Lonchura striata: one gene and its partners. The protein of the gene in region 3 purifies or fractionates together with the protein of the main gene of each other region. This does not show direct contact. Links are inferred from orthologs where the notes say so. Each region holds a gene or a part of one and is shown on either strand. Other genes may lie near its edges.

Region 1 (7,852 bases), on a different chromosome or scaffold from region 3:
ACCGTGGAGGTCACCGATATCCCACACCCGGACCTGCATCTCCTCCACCTGTTATCTTCCACCCTGGACTTCTCAAGAACTTGGTAATTCACACCTAGCAGTTCTCTACTTTAGGATTATCTGTTTAGGAGATTTTAGGAGATGGCAGCACACAGACACAGGCTGCCCAACAGACATCTCCTCCCAAGGGAATACAAGCTTTTCATGCCATACGTGTGCTTCCTTCCATGCCTCCATCCTGCTGAGCAAATGACAAATTCTTCTGGTGTTCTAAGCCAATTTTCCAAAATGCTTTCTCTAATCTGTCTCCTTTCTAAAGCTAAGTCCTGAAACAACACAAACGAAAAAAAAGCAGAGTGGCAAAGTTAAAATTGTGAAGATTTAAAGATATTTTTCCCTAAGTTTAGACCATCAAGGGCACAGCTTAATATCAACACTGGGAATCTGTCAGATGCACATGCCATCCATGGACGGAGGGAAAAAGCAGAGAATCCTGGAAAGCAGCATCTTCCACATTTCACTTTACCCAGAATATCTGCAGTCACTAAAACTTACTCTAACTGGGTGGCATTTTACATTTCCAAATGTAATTGAGTGAGCGTGTTGCCATGGCGACAGTAGGGTTCTGCAATAACTTTGTTGCCTTGTAATTGCTGTATATTTGTATACAAGCAGCTGAGCTTTCCTAAATTCAATGCCCTCAACTCTTCCAGCGAGGCTGCAGAGCGTCGGCAGCAGCTTTTTAGGCTGAGAACTCCTAACAGTGGTGCTGGAAAGATCAGAAATTATTAAAACTCAGCGCCGCGACCGACCGCGTTACACACACACACACAAGAAAAAAAAAGAAAAAAAAACCACCAGGAAACCCGGCCAAGAACCAGATTATTATATAAACTTCAGAGCTCCTTAGCTTTTAAAAATGTTGCCGTTGCAACAACAACAACAAGAAAAAAAGCACAATTCAGATAATTAACTCCAGGTAGATTTGGCAACAAGCAAAGCACTTTGAGGGCAGGGAATAAATGCGGCATGAGTCCCATTTATTGACAGGGCATAATAGCAGTAAATCAAAACGCACTGGCCAGGGGATTATTCACTCTCTGTAGCTCCCGGGGCCAAAATAACGCTTGCTCCATCTCCGCGGCCTCAGACCAGCGCTCTGAGGACAAGGTGATGCGGCTGGGGAAACGAGCACCGCACCGAGCTGCCTGGTGGGAAAGAAGCGGCAAGCCGGGAGAGAGCCAATGCCTCGCTGCACGCCCCATCCCAGGGTTTTACAAGGCATTTTCACACCCTGAATCCACCCACACCTTCCCGGCACAGATCCCCACTCCTTGGGAGCATTTTCAGAGCTGTAATCCAGCCCGGAATATGAAGCAAGGCTTGAACACGAAATCCTCCCGTACGGGCGTTAGCGGCGACGAGTCTGATTTATGCAAATCAGCCAAAACAGTCTATTGACAGGCAAAAAAACCACCAAAACCAGCACCTTCCCCTGCGGAGTGGGCGCACAACACAATTACGCAAGTGCTTTGAGCGAAGGGCAGGTTGCCTTCCCGTCCAGCCGCTGCCCAGCGCCGAGCACTGACAGTCAAATTATTGTTATGTAAATCCATCTGCTCCGCCGAGCCGTCACAAACACCCCCGAGAGCACATCTGGGGCAGGCAGCGGGCAATATTTTGGGGGAGCGCCGGGATCGCGCAGCATCTTCCCCTGATAAATCCCTGCAGCAAAACCCACACGCGGCTGCTGGGCAACACCTCCCTCTCTCCGCGATCCTCCGCCACCCCAAAGCTCGGCTTTTTCTGCTTCATTTCGCCCCATGCAAGCCGAGGCTTGAGGTTTCGCAGCGGCACACGTGCTTTATCCCCCCTCGAACCCCCAAAACCGGAGTTGTGGCGGCGAGGCTACAGCCCTGGGCCTCGGACCTGTGATTGCCATCGCCGGGCTCTCTGAGAACGCCGCGCTGCCGAGGGCAGCACCCCCTGTTTGCTCCTCCCGGGCACAAAAAAAAAGCCATTTTGGGGCATTTTCTCCAGGAGGAGGTGAGTGCCGCGGGGCCCGAGCCCGACAGCCCCGGGGAGCGGGGTGAGAGGACGCAAACTTTCTCCAAGTCCCGCGTTATTCCCACGACAAGGACAAGGGAAGGAGGCCCGGGAGGAGAGGATGGAAGGACCGATCCCGGGCCGCGGCCCGCCCGTTGCCCCAGGGCCGAGCCGCGGGCGTCGCCCCCTCCGCAGGGCCGCGCCCGCCCCGCCAAGCCGCGGCGCCAGGCCCCCGTACGGCGCTGCCCGCAGCCCGCCGCTCGCTCGCCTCGCCGGTCACTCACCGCTGCCCGCATCGCCTCGACTCGCCCCGCACGGACCGAGCGCCGCCGCCGCCGCCGCCGCCGCCGGGGGGGACGAGGCGGAGCCGCGGCCGCCCGGGAGGGGCGGGGCGAGCGCGCGGGGGGCGGGGCTGCAGGCGGCGGCGGCCCCGCCCCCCCATTCACAAAAAACCGGGCCCCGCGCGCTGAGTGGGCGGCGGCGCTGCCCGTCACGCCCCCCGCGCCCCGCCCGGGCCGGGCCGATGGCGCGCGGGGTCCCCGCCCCGCCCGGCGTGCCGCCCAATCAGCGCGCGGCCTGGGGCGCTGCGCGGCTCAAATCCGCCCGCCACCACCGCGCGGGTGCCTGCGATTGGCCGCGCCAGCTGCCCGTCACCTCCCCCTCCCGCGGCCGCGGCGCGGCGGCGACCAGCGGCCCCCGGGAGCGGCCCCGCCGCGCCGCGAGCCCGCCGGGCGGGGAGGCGATCGGCCTTAAAGGGCCGGCGCCGCGGGCAGCCCGGGCGCGGGGGCGGCGCGGCTCGGCGGCGGCGGAGCGGCGCGTACTGACCTGGGCGGCGGGCGAGGCGGGGACGCTGCGCGGCGATGGCCCCCCCGGCGCGGAGCGCGCCACCGACGGACTCAGCCCGTGACGGGTTCCGCCATCTTGGAAATCTTTTTAGATGGAGGAGTCACGTGGTGCGACCATTTTTCCCCCGCAGCCAATCGGCGGGCGCGGGCTATTTATAGCCGCGCGGGGGGAAGGGGACCAATCGGGCCCCGCCCCGTGCGCCCCCGGTCACGCCCCGTGGCGCGCGGCCCGTCGCCATGGCGACCGGGGGCGGGGCAGGGCCGCCATGTTGGCACAGAGCCCGCGGGGATCGGGGGTCGGGACCGCAGGACCGGCGTCTCCAGCCCCCACCTGCGATCCACGCCGTAGAGACCACAGTGTGATAAAACGTGGAACTCTGGGGTTTTTTACCCCCCGATTTTCTGCACCCACGGTCCCGCTCCCTCATGGGCCGTCCTGTGTTTTCCGTCAGGTGTCGCCTGTAACAGCAAACAGCTGAAGCGAGGGGTAAACGACAGAAAGGACAGGGCACGGTTCAACATATTTGCTTGAATTACCGAGAGGAAATTTAAAAATGAAAATAAAAAGGAGTTCTCCGGTAATGTTTCCCTCTACCCCCGTTTTCGCAGCAATTTACTGATTTTTGAGTTGTACGTGGAATTACCCATTGAACTGACACATCTCGTTTCACTCGTATTTTCTTGATTTATGCAGTGCCCAAAACTTCCCAAGTCGTGCTCCCAAACATTCCGGACGATGGGAAGGAAAACACTGCAGTATTGGGTGCAAGAAGTTCATCCTGTGGGACACAATCCAGTGGGAACATCCCACCGGCGATGTATCATTCCATTACTTCTGTTTCCCAGAGAAGCTGTGGCTGCCCCTACATCCCTGCAAGTGTCCAAGGCCAGGCTGGACAGAGCTTGGAGCACCCTGGGATAGTGGAAAGGAGATTTCCTGCTAAGCTTCCAAGGAATTTCTTCCCATCCTTGCCTAAGGCAAGCTGAAACATGACATTCCTTACTCACAGGCAGCCATCCCAGCACGCTTCTGGTGGGTTTGATTAATTGGCTCTCGCTAAATTGTTTTTTAAAACTTCCAGATTTCCCTTATAGCAAAAAAAAAAAAAAAAAAAAAAAAAAAAAATTTAAAAAAATAGGAACTCCTGTCATTCAGCCATCTGGATTTACATAAATTTTGGGACTTGATGGGAATTGCTAACAACTTTGTCCGTCTCTCAAATCTGCATATACATGGTAGTATATAAACACTGCTCCTTTTCTCTTTTACCTTTTCGGAGATATTTACCACCTCTGATTTCATTTGAAAGGGCCACCCTTACAAAAACCCTTGGCATATTGATCCAGCCATTAAAGTTTCGGGATTTTTTTCCACGTTGTCCACAGGCTCCAGGAAATGGTGACATTTCCGTGGAATACACACCTGAGAGCACCACTGGCATTAAGAACACCACTTCTGCCTGAAGCTGAAGCCCTTTTTGTTTCATTTGCAGCTTCTTTAGGCTCGTGGGCTTGTTTGTTGTTCTTTGGTTGGTGAGGTTTCACAGAGTTGCTCTGCCCTCTTTATTTGGGGCCAGCTGTGCGCTCGGACGGATAAGGGAACGTGTGTATAAATAACCTCCCAAATTATGTTTGAGTGCCAAGAGACCTGTGGGTGGAAGGCCTTCAGGGCCAGAAGGTTACCAAAGCAGGGCAATATTTGCCAAGGCAACAGGTGTGCTGCTCATGGCTGGTGCAGGGCACGGCTGTGGCAGCCAGGTGAGTGTCTGCCCTCCCCTGCAGTCCCCATTTCTGCTCCAGCCAGGGGGAGAATTGGTCCCAAATCCTTAAAACGTGGGTTACAAGCAGCCCAGCTGCCTTTCCTCGCTGCACTGCTAGAGCAGTTTGGAAACAGGAAACAAAAGGAGAGAACTGTGCCCTGGAAGTTGCCACGAAGTGTAAGTTCTACCTTCAGGTTTTGATTGATGCTGTACCTGTGGCTGTGGGTGTGAGTATGTGTCTCTATTAATACCCAGTCTAGGCTAACCTATGCATAATGGCAGAAAATTAAACCTTTGTCGTTGTGCATGGAAATTAGACCTCAGATTCACAAGGGAAAGGCTTCTTGCTATATGTTCAATCCAACATATTGGCTATAGCTGTATATAGTCTGTTTTTGCTGTATTTGCAGCTGAAAAACTTACTCAGAGGCCTGTTGAAGCAAAAAATAAAAATCTAAAATAAAAACCAACACCCTGGCAGAGCTAATTCATAAAGATTTAAATAAAAAGCAATTACAGAACTTCACGCCTACCTCCACCTCATCTTTAGCTGAACTCCTTGTTTGTCAGGAATGATTCCATTTCTTATGTTCTCAAGCAGGAAACAGCCATCACAACACTCCAGCTAATTTCCCTCGCTAGTCACACGGAGCTGGTGAAAGGAAAAGAGAGTGCTTCAGTTTTCCACTCCACAGCCTAAAAAAAAGGAGGATAGAGTTAGGAAGAGCGCCAGCAGGAGCTTCCTCTGGAGCCTAGACACCAAGTGGCAGTGACACTTGGGTCCTTGGAGAAAAGTCAAGCCTAGACACAAGTTCCAATCTGATGATGGCTCCCTCTTCTTCCTCCTGATCATTCAGTCTCCATCACTGACCTCCCTTGGTTTTCCTGTCCTACCTGTCACCTTTCTGTGCTATTTCCCACTCCCTGCTCTGTATCTGTCCCACAGTATACTGGTTTACTACTTTTTGCCATCAAAAGGAAAACCCCATCAAACCCACATAATTTACAGCACAGCTCTGATGTGACTGGGAATGTTAAATTTACGTTGCCCCTTCCTGTGTTTTCCTCCAGCATACCTTTTATTGTGGAGTTTTGTTCGGTTGTTACTGGTTTTTTAATCCTGGTGAGTTTTGCTTCAGCTGTAACTCCTTGTTCTCTCTTTGCCTCACAGCTTGCTTTGATCCAGAACAAGGTGGTTCTCCTCCAATTCGGAGCCCCCACGCCTGTGTTTGGCTGCAGGAGCTGCTTCCCAGCTTGTCTGCACACCTAACACTTCATCAAGTCTGCAGCACTCAGGGCCTGAAGAGCTGAAACCCTGAAGCAGTAAGAGCCAGACTCTTAGAAACAAATTATTGCTGTTGTTTTGGGCAAAATCAAGTCCATGTTCCCCAGCTGGGGGGAAAAACAAGCAAGTGAAGTTCAAAGTGGAGGTCACAATGTAAAGTTTGCTTTCTTCTCCATACTTACGCTTTATTTTTGCTGATGGAGATATATTGGATTGTTATGGCAGTCGTTTTACAATGTCTGAGTACAAGACACTTTTAGAATAAAAATGTTTGCCAATTTTGTTTTCAGTATTTTTCTGGATTTCTATAAGCTTCCTATTTATCTAGCAGCTATGCTCTCAACTACATTATGGAATAGCCTGACTTGGAGGGGATCCACAAAGATCATCATTCCTACTGCAGAGAGAAAAATTATTCTGTGGCCATTACAAACAACTGCCCAAAAGTTCTTATGGTGTCATCATCCCTCCAAATGAAACTGAAGAATTAAGAGTATGAAAGAAATCTCTTTTCCCCCTCAATTGTTTGGTTTTGTTTTTGTTTTTTTTTTTTTTGTTCACCCCATTTTAGTAGCACATTAAGGCTTAAATTGAGATAAAAAGCAGAAATAAGTCTAAAATTAATATGGATTCTTTGTGACATCAAGGCTAGAATAACTGATGGATACACTTTGTTTATCAGTGCTCATTTTCCAATTATTAATATTAAAAATAAAGGAAATGTGTATCAATTTATTATATTTCTTTTCATCCAGCTACTGGAAGAAAAATGTGGGGTGTGTCTCTCTGTAGTGAGAAAACCTTCAAAGAAATATTGATCCATTTTTCTATTCGGCCTCTTTCAACCAGGCAAAAAAAAAAAAAAAAAAAAAAAAAAGCATCATCCAGGGTGTGAAAAACCATTAAAATCTAAATAAATGTAAGAAAAATATGACCAGGGAAAAAAAAAAAAAGCAAAATAGAAAAATAGAAATAAAAACATTTGCAGCCTGGTCCCTGGGTGTTGGTTTTATGTGAAGAGACTGACTTGCAGCTGGATGACGAGTAGGATATTTTTCTACTGAAATATTGATAGTAGATCACACTAAACCACAAACTATCTCCAGAAAGCCCATCATTTCTAATCCTAATGGTGTTTTCTTTCCCTTGGCTGACTGCTACATTCATGAGATGATGGCTTTATTCTATCTGGGGGAAAAACTTTTTACCATACAGCTAAATTAACTTGTCAAAAGACTTCAAACTTCGGAAGCTTTTACAGCCCAATTCAAAGCTATTATTCAGGATTGAATGAGAAGGCTGTGGACTGTAAAAGCTGGCAAAAAAAAATAAAATAAAAATTTCAGCAGCATTCAGGAGTTGAATGGAGGGCTCACTTTTTGTTCAGGTTGTGTGTGTTTCATTGAGCTGTCTCAGAAAGAGTTGGATTTTGGTATTTTAAAGCAAAGTGCTTCTTTCTGCTGCTCTGGAAGCTTTGACCCAGTCCATGCTCTTTCACACACACTTGGTTATATTTAGTTTGTGCCAACCTAAATAAGTGTCAACCAGCTTTCCAGAAATGTGGGGAGCACAAAAGAGAACGACCAGCAGCTAAATTGAGGCAGAACAAGAACACAATTGGACTTATTTTTATCCTTTTCTTTTAAAATCAGATCACAAACTATCTTACAGTCAGCTACAGCTTTCTCATGCAAATAAAAATGCCTGGCTTCAGGAGCAGCAACTTTTAGATTTTGCAGACAAGGAGCAGCTGGCAGAGCTCGTGCTTGGAGTCTTTCCTGACGTGGATCCAATCTACTTTGGGACAAATCTGGAATAAAAAGCCAAGCCAACAATTGCAGCCCCCGGAAGGGAACCCAGGGCTCTCTGGGAGCACACAAACACATTCAGGATGTTACAGGATGGGATCCACCATG
Region 2 (7,339 bases), on a different chromosome or scaffold from region 3:
TAGCTGAGCCTTAAAAAAAGGATATATAAATATCAGAGATTCATTCACAGCCACTTCCCCACTCATACATCCCGTAGCTGCATATTCCTTCATCTATTTCAGCTCCTAATGACTGCAAGGAAGAGGTTGAGAGTCAACCTAAATTGGTTCAGCTTTTACTCTTCACAGGGCACAAACTTTAATTTCAACTACTCTTTACATAATTTAAATAATACACACGGTGCTCTCTTTATTTGATTCTCAAACCAGCTGTATCTCAAGCACAATGGGACATGTCACCGACACTTGCTTTGCTGCCCTCATAATATGGTTTAATTATGATGACTGAACTAACAGGCTCACATCATAGACTTTTACAGGTTGACCCTGTGTCATCCTGATGTATCATTTTGCACCAGTTCAGTGCTGTAAATCAATTTAAGATCTCCAGCAGGTTGAAAAGGCTGGTAATGATGCTTTCTCTGCAGTCTCTGGGGACTCCACATTATACACAACTTACATTATTTATAAAGCTGAGATGATGCCTCCATTAGGCCTGTAAGACTACTCAAATGATATTTTACGCACACAGCTTGGGCTGCACAGAGCAGAATACTGGCAATATGTAATATCCAGTGCATTCATGCTTTAATTTAAAGAAAAATAACCAAAACAGTCATAACCCCTTCATTTTTAAAATTTAAATCTTTATAGCAAGCAAAGAAATTAACAGTTTAATCTGAATAATTTTCTAGTACTCAGAAACACAAGTAGCACTTTTATTAACCTTTGTATTGTTTTTCTTCATGTTCACCTATTCTGTTTTCAAACTACAGAGGAAAAACAAACACCAAACTCATCAGTTTCAAATAGTTGATTTGATAGTTACTATTTATATGAAAACAGAAAGATCTCCATCTGTTTACTCAGTCACTTGTCTCAAATGTATCAGATCATCACATCTTCAAGGGTACACAAAAAAGCAAGTTGAACAGAACAGAATAGGAAAAAAATGTATTTGATTACATACCCAATGGTAATGGGGTCAAAACAGATGCAAGGACAAATCCCTACCCTTAGGGTAACCTGATCAGCCTTGAACTGATCATTTCTCATAGCTGTGGAAGGCTTCTGGATCACCCAAATCAAGGGAAATTTCTCTCAAGTGCCTACTTACAGTCTGAAGTAAATTGCAAGACTTCAGCCCTAAGACCACAGCAAGGACTCCCAAAAGGGCCAGATCACTCTCATTTTCATACTGATGTTCTTTCAGTCATAACAGAGAAGTAAGCACCCAAACCCTGCACTAAAATCCAATGGGAACCTTGAAAAACCTTCATAGCACTGCTCTCTGGTTTAAGGGGGAAATTAAATACTAATCAGCTGCAACTAAAAACTCACGTCCCATAATTCAGCCAAATCATTACTCACAAGTAAAAGAAAAAAATAAGCCAAACTTATGTTCCCTCACATGATTTGCTCCTATTGTTTGACATGACAAGGTGCATACAGTCAGCCACATGAAGAATTACAGACACACACCTGCAAAGAAAAGTGTTCTCTGTGGGCTGGGTAAGCTACTGTTTTTAATCTTACTCCTGAATGCTGCTTGAAAATACATATAATTATTGGAAGAAAAAATTTTAAACAAGTTTTTTTTTCTGACTTCCCCTCTGTGTGCAAAACAGATTCAAACTATCAGCTATGACCGCTCTTTCCTAAGAAGCATGTTAGTTTTAAGGTGCAATATCTTTGAACACTGACATCCATTAAACACTGACATGTTTCAGGCAATGATCTTTTCCATTTGCCTGTATCTGAAATACACATTTACTTTTACTCCTCCCCATCTGGCTCTAACAATACAGTTTTCATTAAGCTCTGTTGAAAATACTTCCCCAAATAAAACTGTAGACACGCAGTGAGCATCATGTTATCCTAAAGTACACCAAAAAAATGATTAATTTTCAGAATAAGCTGTTGTTATCCAGATACTGTAAAAGCAAACTGTAAGGTCGGACTGTGTACCTTCTTCAGATTGATCTTCTAACAAAAGAGCAATCACAGCAACCCTGCCTCGGTCAGAACTCTCTCTGACTTCAGTTTATATTAAAAAAAAAAAAAAAAAAAGTCAGTATTTGGCCCAGATCATTTTGAACGCATGACTGAATATTTCCATGCCAGTAAATTTTAATAAGCTTTAAAGATCTATATTCAGGATAAGATTATTTGGCTGTACAAGTATATGAAGCAACTATACTGAAGAGGGGGAAAATCTCAAGCATCCAAACCCTCTAACAGGGAAAAGAAAAAAAAAAAGTGAACTTTCCTTGACCTCTAAGCGCAGATTTGTCATTAAAGAAGAAAGAAGGGGACGGGAGGGAAAAAAAAGCAGGAGGGGAAGGGGCTGCGGAAAGAAAGGAAGGGAGAAAAAAGAAGAAAGAAGATAAATTAGAGGGAGAGGGACGCGGCCGGGCCGCGGCGGGAGGCGAAGGGCTGCTCCCGCACACACAAAGGCGGCCCCTGCCCCGGCTCCGCCGCGTCCCCGCGATGGGGCCGGGGCCGGGGCCGGGGAGGAGCCGCAGGACGGCGCTTCCCGGCAGGGAAGGGCTCTGCCGCCCGCCGGGCCCGGCGCGGCACCTACCCACCAACTCGGAGCCGGGAGCGGTCCCCGCCGGGCCGCCATCATGCCGGGAGGCGAGCGGGAGCACCGCTGCCCGGAGCCGCTCCCGCCGCGCCGCACGGCCCCGCCGCCGGGAACACCACCGCAAGGACCGCGGAGGAGGAGGAGGAGGAGGGGAGGATGCGCGGGCACAGCCGCCCGGCCTCGGGGACAGTGAGCGGGGAGAGGTGCGGGGGAACGCGAAGTTGTTACCGGCTGGCGGGCGGTGACGGGCGGCCAGCAGGCAGCTCCTCCGCGCCGGAATCGGGATCGGGATCGGGATGGATGTGGCCCGGCCGGCGTCAGGCGGCCGGAGCCGCCCCGCGCCGCTCACCGGCACACTCACACACACACTCGCATACACACACGCACCGGCCCGGCCAGGGATCCTCCCCAAATTCCCGCCCCCGCCGCCGCGCCGCCGGGTCCCGCTGGGAGCGCTGCGCCCGCCGCCGGAGAGCGGCCGCGGCACGGCACGGCACGGCCCCGCACGGCACGGCACGGCACGGCCGCTGTGTGCCCTAGCCCGACCCTCGCCCCGGCTGTGAGCCCCCTCCGACACCGTCACTGGGGCTTAGGAGGCGTTTCTGCCCCGCCGGAGCGGCCGGGGAGCTCCGGCAGCGGGGCTTCGGGGACAGCGGAGGATGCTGTCGGACTTGGAGTTAAAGTCCATTCCTGACGGAACAGGATTATGTCCTGCCGCTTGCTACAGGTGATTCAGGCTTGACTTGGTCTAGTCTTAATACTGAAATAATTGCTGTAATACCTCCCAATGACAGAGCACTCTCTAACCCCAGGTGTTTTACACGTGGACATTCTCCTGCCCGTAGGTATTGCTGCACTTAGTCCTCATTCATGCGAGTAAAGCTATTACAGTGCTGGAGGCTTCTTGTGCAGTCAGAGCCACAGTAATGAAGCCTCAAGTCGCTGTCCCTGGGACTTGAAGTCCATTTGGATCTGCAAGTGTCGGCTCCAAAGTGGAACTGACTGAAAGTTTGGAGCTCACATGTGGAATGGCAAGCCTCTCCTGCCCGCTCACAGGATCTTTACAGTAGTCAGGTAAGTGTTGCGCAAGCAAGATTGAACTGAAACTGATTCTTTGGCTTTTACCCAGTCATCGTTCCTGGAAGGAGATTTCAAGCAACAAGTGCAAGATGTTCCTACGTGGCAAAATATTCTGATATGCCTATACACATAATTGTACCCCTAGACTTAGGCCAGTAAATTTTGACATGTATAGACAGTTCTGGTATGACTTTAAACTAATTTTAAAGTCCAGGAACACTGAGGCCTGGAGGACTTAAGGCCCTGAGAGTTTTACCAGATGAACAGTTGTCCTGCCCACCCAAGTGCATTGTGAGTCTGAAGACACAGAAGTGGAATGGCTTGCCCAAGATCACAGAAGGAGCACAACAGCAGCAGTAAAAAATACCCAGGTCTATGCCTGTGAAGGTATCAGCGCTTCTTTCTAACTTCATAATCTAAAATTCATCCATTTCATTGCCACATATGCCACATAAATACCACATATATTGCAAACAGGTGAATTGTACAATTTTGTTAGGGATTATGCTACAATAATAGTAGAGGAACTCCCACACAGGATGATGCCATAATATTGATGGGGAAAGCCTGGAATAAAATTACTCTTTTACTGCTTAAATTTTGAACCTTGAATGATTCAAGATGAGTGAACTTTGGTAATCAGCTTTAATGTGTATTTTGTGCTTGCACTGTACACAACTACACTTAGCAAGTAAACTTCTTTCTATGTGCAATCACAGATATAGTGCAGCACTGGACTGCAAATACAACTGGTGGAGTTTATCTCAAGACAAACTGAATGGTCTTTAAAGTTTGGCAGTGTAATGAAGGCATTTGCGAGTAAAGTACAGGAGAAACATGAAACTGATATCTGGTTTTTGTACTGTGGTAGTGTCCTGGATCAAGAGTAGTGGATGCAGCAGTAGTACCTGCCCAAGAGCTTGGCAGTCTCAGTGATCCAGTCTCACACAGAGAAAAACATGGAAAAGGCCTTTCATGTGCTTGAGCTCTGCTGTAATGTGCTCTGCAGGCTGACTTCGTGGGCACAAGCTCCATCCACTGGATCCTGGTTGCTGAAGTATCAATTCATGATTCACACTAAACAGATATGACAAGGAGATAATTAGGGAAGCACTGCAGTTTGTCAGGTGTCTTGTTAGAACCACATTTTTACTGCTTTTGTTGTTGTTGTTAGGGTTGACCGGTTGGTTGGCTTTGGCATGAGAGAATTAAATTATTTTCTACTTACATTGAGGCTTGGGGAGGATCACATTAATATGCTGCTTTCCTTAAAAAAGGCTATGAAACAGCCTAGGAGAGTCTTTCTCTGATGTTTAATAACCAGAGTGGTTGTCCTGGAGGGGGCTGGGTAGCCTGGCTTCAGACAGAGCAGTGGTGTGAGAAGACCAGGGGAAAAGGCAGAAACAGTGTGCCCTGGTCAGATCTTCCTCAAGGCTTCCCTGCCTGGGCTGTTCTGGCACACTAGCCAGAATAAAACTTCAAGTCTGCCCCCTGCTTTAGGATGTGCAGGTGGAGCTGACTGTCCAAACCCATTACTCTGTGGGTGAGCAGCATCAGCAGTGTCTTACTGCACACTCACCACTTCTAAATCCACTGGCTAATTTAATACCCTGAATCATTAACTTCTTCCTGCCTTTTCTGAATAACATTAGAAAACTGAAAAAAGGAAATCAGAGAGGTATGTACACCTGGGTATCAACCTTGATGCTCCTCTGCACTGGGCTGAATAACTGTGCTATCTCAAGAGGCAACAGAGAATAGGTTTTTTCTCTTTTTGCTCTGCAGCTACATGATCATTCAGACTAGTGCAAGGAAAATAGGCCGTGAGGCTGGGGCAATGAAGAAAGAGAAGAACCATTCCGTCTGTAAACTGCCTGTCTTTTCATCAGATTAGGTGCACAATCTGATGGCACCATCAGTCATAAGGCCTGTGGACCTGAATTTTAATGGAGTAGGGGCACTTACACAGATAAATGTCTATTATGATTCTCAAAGGAAACTTTAATCTCACAGACACTTTCTAGCATCTCACCAAGCACCTGCCCAATCAGCTTTAAAATCTGTGTCTCGGAAACTGATTATCAGAAGGCTGAGTTCTAAAAGACATTCATTATGCTGCATATTTTAGACTATTCTATTATGTAACAAGCATTTAAGAAATACTACTACTACTACTAATACTGTGGCTACAACAACTATTGGCTTTTGATCTTCCTCCAAAATCCAATTTTGTATGTAGGTTATGATTTGGTATTTCTTGTTAACTTCAGCCAGGCTTCATCTGGCTTAATCAAGAAGTTCCAGGGATAGTGACTGTCTTCTGGAGACAGTTTAGCTCCAAAGTCAGTAACTTTGCTTTACCTTCATGTACACTAGGTTTCTGCCAGAAATTAGGAGTTTCATGGATAATTAAATAATTAAATTATATCAAACAGACAACTTATTATTTACATTAAAATCACTGGAGTAATTTTCTTTTCAGCCATTACACTTTTTGTTGCCTAGTGTGGGAAAATACCAACAATATTTTCAGAGAGAAGAGGCAGCTCTCTCAAGAAGAATAATAGCTTCCTAAGGATACTGGATTTCATTATTTCCTTCTTTCTTGGGCTGGGTGACAAAATGTATCACCCTCTATCCTTCATGGCTTCTCTGCTTTGTCTTTGAGTAGGCGAGGTATTAAACAAGACTCCTACCTCAGCATTATTAACATAGGATATGCAGACGGCTTAGCAACTGCATAGATCTATTTGGGAACAGTGCCTCAGGCAGAAGACAGCATGTGAGAGAAGGTAAGGAGCATTTTTAGGAGGTCATCATAACTGTGCAGCACTGCATATGGTTTTCCAAGTCCATCTGGATACAAGGTCCTGTATAGCCACAGTACAAGCCCAGGAAATAAGGAACTAAGTTGTAAAAGGCCTTGAAGGCAACACTTGAGGGCTCTCTGTAGTCTTGCTCTGGGAGTCTGGCCATTTTCTAGAATGAGCCCTGCATGAGTTTGACTCTATAGAGAGTCAAATACCTGCTTGGGACCTGCCTTAGTATTGTGACTCACTGTCATAGGCAAAAGAACAAAGAATTCATTTCACTCTCAGAAGTTCTTCCTAAACTGGCCCACTATGATTAAGTGGGATTCATATAGAATAAATGTGGAACTTGATAATTTTACAAGGTTATTATGTGTATACCTCTGTTATATTAAATAAGGCTTCTGCCATAAATCTATCTGCAGATACCAGAAAGGTTTTTGATCAGATTGAGTAGTCATTCATCTTTTCCACCCATTGGGATGATGGGAATCAGACCTAAATTCATTACTTTCTTAAGATTAATGTGCCCAGCTAAAGCTGCCAAGATCCTTATTAAAAGTTACAATTCCAAAAGGTTTGGGTTGAAATAAAGTATTAAGCAGGGCACTCCCTTATCTCCATTATTGGTTGTTTTCTCATCAGACTCTGATGCAAGGACTTTCCTCCAGCAATGTTACTTTTCTGGTAAAGAAGGGAGATTGCCCTCTGTTCTGACAGCTCATCACGTGCATCCACGAAGGACAGCATTCCTGTTCACTGCATTGCACCAGTACTGTACTTTATAGAGAATGGAATTCTCTCTTTGGATCTTGCCTGAATC
Region 3 (7,691 bases):
TCACCCGCACACCCGTAACATCTTCAAAGCAAACCTCCATCGTTATCACCACTCACTTTACCAGGGGCTCATTTAAGCACTTTTACTGCTTCTTCCCGAACAAACGGCCATGATAACACGGCTGGCAGTCGGGAAACACAAGAAAAAGACGATGTTCTGGAACACACTGGGTGAGACTGTTTCCAAACTTTTCTGTCTTTTCAGGGATCTCCAGGTGTGTTACTTTTCACAGGAAAATGTGGGTATGTTGAGATCCCCCAGGGCCATCCCACCTCACTCTGACCCATGCCCTGCTCAGGAAGGCACTTGGGGACACCCGAGCCATTGCCCCCTCCCTACCAAAAGCCACGGGAAGGAAAACTCCAGTGGGAACACTTGGAAATATTGCTAGAGGAGGAAAAGGGCTTGCTTTAAAGCCCGCAATTATTGTTGTTATTATTGCAGGTTTTTTTCTAAAAACGTTTCCTCTCATTAGCGCGCCGTGGGGATGGAGACAGAAAATTAAAAGCAGCATCCCCAGTGCAGAGCGGGGTGGGATTTATTATGGAAATGTGCGACCCTGCCAAGGAGAGCGTCTCTGGGCATCCACTTCCTCGGCTGTCCACCAGGAGAAGTGAGGTACCCCGTGTCCCCAACTCCAGGTGCTCTGTGTCCCCCTCTCCCAGCCCCATCTCTGCCCGGGCTGTTGGGGGGCAAAGCCCCGATCCCACTCTGCCACTGCAGCCTGACCCTCGGACTCCAGCCGCCCCGCCACGCTTCAGAGCCACGCCAAATCCTCCGGTCCCACTCCCGGGAGCGGAGAGGAGAAAGGGGAACCCCCGTTTCTCGAGGTGGAGGGGTGCCACACTAAGCTCCGGCCGAGGGCTGAATCCCTCCTTCCCCAGAGAGGGAAAGCAGGTTTCTCAAAAAAAAAAAAAAAAAAAAAAAAAAAAAAAAAAAAAAAAAAAAAAAAAAAAACACCAAAACAAACAAACAAACAAACAAACAAACAAAAACCCCCAAACAAACAAACAAACAAAAAAAAACAGCCATGGAGAGAGACTATGGGGAGCAGGGGGTGTCTCCCGGGGGATGCTGAGGGGGGCACAGGGTGCCCCTGGGCTGCGGGGGGAGCACGCCAGCAGTGCCCCGCGGGGATGGAGATAACGGGATGGCTCCGGGGGTGCGGTCCGTGCAGGGGGGGCGGGCAGAACTTGGGGGGCGCCGGGGGCGCAGCAAGGGTGAGCGGGGCAGAGCTGGCACACGGCGGGCACGGGAAGCGCGGCAGGACGCGGGGCACGGCGGCCACTGCAGGACCGGGAGAGCGGGGCGAGAGGCACTGCGGGGGCTGCACTCCGAGACATCGCGGACGGGGGCACAGGAGGCACAGCAGGACCGTGACAGGATACAGAAAGCACTCCAAGACTCGAACACTTGGAGGGGAGGGCGGGAACACGGGAATCATTGCAGGATTGGGGGTCAGAGAAGCCCCCCGGGCCGCAGGGGCACAGGAGGCGGTGCAGGATGGGGGTGCACGGGGAGGCATTGCTGGGCTGGGGGCGTGAGGGGGGGGCACAGGAGGCAGCCCGAGGGCCACGGGAGACATCGCGGGGACAGGGGGTCGGGGGGACACAGAAACCCCTGCGGGCCGGCGGGGCACTGAGATGCTGCAGGAGGGGGGACAGGAGAGCACAGAAGTCCCTGCGGGCCGAGGGGCACAGAAGGCACTGAAGGACGGGGCTGGGGGGGTGGAACTGCGGGACACAGAGAAATCCCTCCGGGCCGCGGGGCACAGAAGCTCCTGCAGGACGGGAATCACCGGAGACACTGCGGGCCGGGGGGTGGGGGCACAGAAGCCCCTGCGGGAGGAAGGGCAGGGGGCGCGGGGGGAGCATCCCGGGCCGCGGCGGCTGCGGGAGGGGGTGTCTCACCTTGAACGCCACCGGGAGGGTCTTGTTGCAGCGCCAGTGCGAGGGCAGGACGGAGCAGAGGAAGTTGGGGCTGTCGGTACGGACCAGCTCGGCGGGGTGGTCAGCGATGATCTCCACCATGGTGCGGTTATCGTGGGGGCGCAGCCGGGGCACGGCGGCCGCCGCGTCCTGTTGCTGCTGCTGCTGCTGCTGCTGCTGCTGGGCTACCACCACCGGGCTGACCTCGCTCATCTTGCCGGGCTGCAGGCTGCTGGAGGGGGGGCTGAACCTCCGGCTGGTGCTGGGATCTACGGGAATACGCATCACAACAGCCACAAGTTAGCGAATTGGGGGGCGGGGGGGGGGGGAGCGGTAGGGGGATCGCTGGTAGAGGAGGCGTGTAGTGGGGGGTGGGGGTTGTAAAAAAAAAATATATATATCTAGCGAAAAAAGGGATGAATGAAAAAGTGGAGGGTGAGGATAAGGGGCAAAAAAGCAAATCAGACAAAAAACAGGGAAAAAAAGGAGCGGATTAAATGCACGAGGTAAAAAAAAGTCTCAGTCTGTTTTTGGTTTGTTTTGTTGGTTTTTTTGGGTTTTTTGTTGTTTTTTTTTTTAAAGAAAGATGGACGGGGCGAGGGGTGATGCCGGTCTGGGGGCGCAGGCAGCCTGGAGCAGCGAGGAGGCAGAGGCTGGCAGTGGGTCCGGGGCTGCCCCTCTCAGCACAGCCCGGCTGGAAACTGCATGGTCCCGGCTTCTGCCCAGCTGCAAAGCGCTGCCGCTTCTCCTCCTCCTTCCTTCCTTCCTTCTCGCACAGTCTCTCTGCTCTTTTCCCTCCTTCTAGCCACCGCTTCTTCCCTCAAGTGCTCGAGTTTCTTCCCTTTTTTCTTCCCCTCCCTTCGCGTCTTCTTTTCCTTTTCGGATTTTCCAAAAATTGTCTTGGGAGAAGTAGAACTCGCTGCTGGTTCAGCTTCCTGGGCTGCTGCTGCTGGTGGCCGCCAGAATCGTAGCGTAACTCAGCCCCGGAGAGGAGCGGAGAGGAGAGGGGGGGTTCAGGGGAACGTCCCGGTTTCCTCCGACGAAATCTTCCTCCTCCGGACTCACACACACACACACAAAAAAAAAAAAAAAAAAAAAAAAAAAAAAAAAAAAAGGAGCAAACAAAAAGCCTCGCTGGGACAGAGGCGAGGACGAGGAGCCGCTGGGCTCTCCCGCTTATTGCCTTTGGCTTCAGGAAGCGGGAGCTCGGGAAGGGGCTTGGGAAAAGTGGCTCCCCCCCTCCAAAAAAAAGGCGCTCCCGAAGCGATTTCGTCCGGGAAACAAAGTTACTGGGATTGTTGGGGTGAAGAGGAAAGTCACAGGGCTGATAATTAAAAGAGACTTTTTATCTAGTTCCTTTCGGAGGATCAGCGCTTAAGGAAAGTTAAACTTTCGGATTCCCAGGGAAAAAGAATCGGGGATCACAGCTGAGAAAAAAAACCAACCAACACAACAATAAAACACCCCTCCTTAGGCTGATTTCTAAAATATGATCAAGCAAATTCTAGGAAAAGGCAGCCTTGGTGCAGCCTGGTCCTTCACATGAAGTCGCTGCTGGATCCAAGTCCGTTGAGTTGAATAGGAGAACAAAAATCTTGGGTTTTTTTTTTCCGCCCTTGATGAACAACAGCAGCAAAAAAAAAAAAAAAAAAAAAAAAAAAAAAAAAAAATTCTTTAAAATGTCGCTTTGTTTGACTTATTTTTCTTTCTGGAGAATCGGGTTAAAAATAATAATTATTAAAAAAAAGCAACCAAAAGTTACAAACTTCTTTTGGTTCCCAAGAAGTTCAGGTCGGGGAAGATGAAGGAGCCGGAAAAAAAATAACAAACCCACGCCACAGTTTTTTTGTCCTGAATGTGGTTTTTGGAGGCTGGGATTTCTAATGATTAGGTTTTTGTGGTTTATATATACAGGACTCTCTGGCTAAGGCGATCATTATGCTGATGAGAGTCAGCAGCACGTGGTGCTTCAGTCCTCAGACTTTTGCAGCCTTCAAAATAAATAAACCAATGTGCATCCCCCCCAGGAGGAGAAACTCTCACCCACGGGGAGAGGGATGGGGAAGGGGGGGAGCAGGAGACGGTCTCCGATCTCCACTTCTCTCCGGGTTTTTTCCATTAACACTTTTGGACTTGTTTGTTTAAATTAAAAAAAAAAAAAAAAGCATTAAAAATCTTGTTATAAAAAAAAAAAAAAAAAAAAAGAAAAAAAGTAAGAATATTCTGGTGCCAAAGAGTTTTTTGCTAAGTCTCCGGTAGTCTAAAGCCTAAACCATTTCCTTGAATGAATGAAAGCTATAAAACCCCCTTCAGACTATTAAGGTAATGGGAGTCTGGTTTGTTTTTCTCCCTTAAAAAAAAAAAAAAAAAGAAAAAAAAGAAAAAAAGGGCAGATCTTATTAAAAACCATTTACATACCCAATGGTATGAAAGTGTCACCGCCTCCCCGCGCAGATAACAGCCTATCACAACCCGCCCTCTAATTTCTAAGGCTTTACTCCGACTTGCTACTTCCACCTTCTTGTAAAAAGTCGGCGCTGCGTGTGTGCTCCTTGCTCGCCGCCTGTGTGTGACTCGGGGCGCTGTGTGTGTGTCTGTCTGCGCTGTGTGTGTGTCTGTCAAGAGCCGTTCCGAGCCCGAGCCCGGCGCCCCGACCCAGCCGGGTTTGTCCCGCGGAGCTGCGGCGGAGCGGGCGGAGCTGCCCCGGCGGAGCAGCCCGCACACACCCGGGCTCGGTGTGTCCGTGTGTGCCTGCTGGTGCTGGGGGCACCTCCGGGGCTGTTTCTGCGCCCGCGGAGCCTCCGCGCCCTCCTCCTGCCGGGCGGCACCGCTGCTCCCGCGCCTTCCTGCCCCGCTGCCCCCAATTTCTGCGCCTCCGGGGCAAAGCCCTGCCGTGTCCGGGGAATGTGCGTGCGGAGGCGGCGGCGGCGGCTCCTGCCCGCTCGGCTCCGGAGCAGAGAGCAACCCGCAAGCTCCGCCGATCGGTCACAGGGGAGAGCTCTCGCTCCGCGCACCGCGGCTGCGGCTCCGCGCCCGCCGGCGCCCACCCAGCCCCGCTCCGCAGCCGTGCCCCGTCCGTCCTGCGCTCCGCTCCGCGGCTTTCCCACGCCTGCCGCGGGGAGCGGCACCCCCGACCCACTGCCTCGCAGGGACCTGTGCCCTCCGCTTGTTCATTTCCTCAACGGTTGTTCTGGTTTTTTTTTTTTTTTGTTTGTTTTTTTTTTTTTTTTGTTTTTTTAATCTTTTCCCGGCCCAAGGTTGGAAGGGCTCTGGAAGTTTTCTATCCCGTTGAGAAGACGCGATCCATGTGGGTAACGCTGCAAGCCCCTCCTGAGCTCGCCCTACTTCTCCCGCCAACCACAGGGATCTAATGTTCCCCAAAAGTGGCCACAGGCGTTTCCACAGCACAATTACTCATCACCTATACGGATTAGTATATATGCAGAAGCTCTGGCTTGCTGTGGTTGTGATACAGAAAATAACTTTGTTCATACTTATTTTGGCAAAATATTTATGTCCATAGATTCTTTTGGCTTCCTTCCCCCCTTCTTTAGCTGGCTCTAATACATTCCCAAAGAGCCATTCCAAAGGCGCTAGAAAGAAGGCAATGAGTTGTTTTATATCCAAATGCTATATAAGCCTGACAATCATGATTTATTTCGTTTCAATCAAGAAGATACCTTTCCACTTTTAATTAGTCACACTAAAAATTTTACAGTCACCTCTCTTCCTACTAAAATAAAATAAAAAGTTAATTAGGATAAACTAAAATAAGTCGTTGGAAGCTACCAGTTTAAGGTCACTTAAAATAGTCCAGAGTTATTTATAATGTCAAAATAAAATTTTCCACTGAGTGCCCTAACAAAGTTTCAGGTATCTGGCACAGCTGATTTTCAGTCTCTGTGCAAAAATATCTTTCTGCTGAATATTTACACATTTAACAGGAACTTACTACAGTCTGGAACAGATCACGGGTCAGAGTTCTAGAATTTTATTTAAATGGTTATGGACAAATTAATAAAAGTACCAGTAATATTTATGAACCTACATAAAAGCTGGATGGGATTTTTCAGCAGAAGTCATTCATGTTATGATATATATAATCTGGAACGTTGGCTTGGATTTGGCTGGAATGGAGAGCAACCCTGCTGCTCGGCTTTCCTCAGGTTTTATTTCAGAACTTCTCGGAATTTTAGCACTGGTTGCAAAATGGGTCATATTTTAAGATCTTAGAGAATTGTAGGAGGTTGGTGAAAAAATGTGCTTGCGCTGCAAGTTATATCTTAACAAACACCTCCAGATCCACTTTACAGTATTGAATTTTCATTAGTATGGCTGTGCGTGCTGCAATTTATATTGTCTTTTAGCCTTTTCACTTTTAACTGTGTTATGAATACAGCCATAATTAGACTGCTTTTGGACAAAAAGGTAATGTTTTAAAGAGAACTGAGTTTGTTTACCATCACATTTCTAGAACATAGGCCCAGTATGCTCTTGTTGTAAGTACTGGGTGCTCAAGATGAAAAATAATTATCAGATATGAAAGATTCTAACCTGGATGATGTTCCCTAAATAAATAGTTTCAATGCCAGTTTGCTGGGCTGGAATGTTCTGCAAACCCAATGAATACAGAATTTATTTTGAGCCTCTCTGTGTATGTAAATAGCTTTTGTGAAATGGGAATAAATGAATGGGTTCACTGGGTTTGTTGCTGTATTTGATATTTTTAGCCAGAGAGACTACAGCAATGTCAGCATTATTACTATAGTGAAAGAATTGCCAATATCTACCTTCCCTAAGTTTTTAATTCACTGAAATGCACACTGAAAGTGTGCATTGAGCCAAAATATGTGAACTTAAGTAAACTTAATGCTAGAGCAGGTTTTGCCTGAACTTCCATTCATTTCAGTAGGGGCAAGATAAGCTCCAGTGTCTCTTGGCAGAGCTTTACTTTCACTTTGGTTGGAAGTTGACTGTTTGCCCAGATATTCTTTGCTTTTTCTTAAGTATGACAAATAGTAACTCTAGATTAGCACGTAATTTGGCCTACTAAGTAGGCGTGTGACAATGAGTTCTGTAATAGCAGCACTCTTACTCAGACTATGGACTACTATGGTTTGTTTAACTACTGTGTCCCTGCCCCACTGATTTACAGCCCAGATAAAAGAAGATTCTTTGTGTCCTGAAATTAAATTGAAGCATTTAATATTTCAGCATAATGCACTGCTTTTTAGCATTTATAGTCCCTGATACAAACAAAAGCATGAAGATTTGATAGACAGGCTACAAAATGACCGCATTAAAAAATTAACTACATAATTTTACTTTTCCTCCTAGCATTTTCAGTAGGAAGTGGGGACTGAGAGCTAAGAGTCTTGTGTTCTGTCTCATGATCTGATGCTGAATGTTCTGGGATCTCAGACATGACTTTTAGCAAGTTTTCCTTCAGTATAGAATGAGATCTTAACTACTACCCATATATATTTTGATATAGAAAAATATGTATATATATTCTCAGAGGTCCAAAGATGAGCAGGACTCGGCATCCAGTAATACCAGGAAAAAAAATTTGGAAATCTGGTAGGAAACCTACGCTGTCCCTGCTGAAAAACTGTTGGCTTTTCCACAGCACACAGCAAAACACGGGCTGTACAAACAACAAAGTTTACTGCTTCTGTATTTTTCCTAAATCATATATTTTCTGCTTCTCTTAAGCAGGGACTGTAGGACTGTGGTGTGGGTCCTACTGCAGAGTTTTCCCAT

The links.
Region 1: the proteins of RUNX2 (region 3) and HDAC4 purify together in Homo sapiens (affinity purification with western blotting; 3 studies listed by BioGRID). This does not show direct contact. The link is inferred for Lonchura striata from reciprocal best matches to the Homo sapiens genes RUNX2 and HDAC4.
Region 2: the proteins of RUNX2 (region 3) and SMAD1 purify together in Homo sapiens (affinity purification with western blotting; 3 studies listed by BioGRID). This does not show direct contact. The link is inferred for Lonchura striata from reciprocal best matches to the Homo sapiens genes RUNX2 and SMAD1.

The regions. Positions count from the first base shown.
Region 1 is NC_134610.1:36,921,237-36,929,088, forward strand, and holds the start of HDAC4 (histone deacetylase 4), read right to left. Parts: upstream 3,008-7,852; 5' UTR 2,872-3,007; intron 2,426-2,871; exon of another isoform or gene 2,331-2,425; intron 1-2,330. UniProt on the Homo sapiens protein: Responsible for the deacetylation of lysine residues on the N-terminal part of the core histones (H2A, H2B, H3 and H4).
Region 2 is NC_134606.1:62,070,946-62,078,284, reverse strand, and holds the start of SMAD1 (mothers against decapentaplegic homolog 1), read right to left. Parts: upstream 3,005-7,339; 5' UTR 2,855-3,004; intron 1-2,854. UniProt on the Homo sapiens protein: Transcriptional modulator that plays a role in various cellular processes, including embryonic development, cell differentiation, and tissue homeostasis.
Region 3 is NC_134605.1:108,607,325-108,615,015, forward strand, and holds the start of RUNX2 (runt-related transcription factor 2), read right to left. Parts: upstream 3,032-7,691; 5' UTR 2,214-3,031; coding exon 1,911-2,213; intron 1-1,910. UniProt on the Homo sapiens protein: Transcription factor involved in osteoblastic differentiation and skeletal morphogenesis. Essential for the maturation of osteoblasts and both intramembranous and endochondral ossification.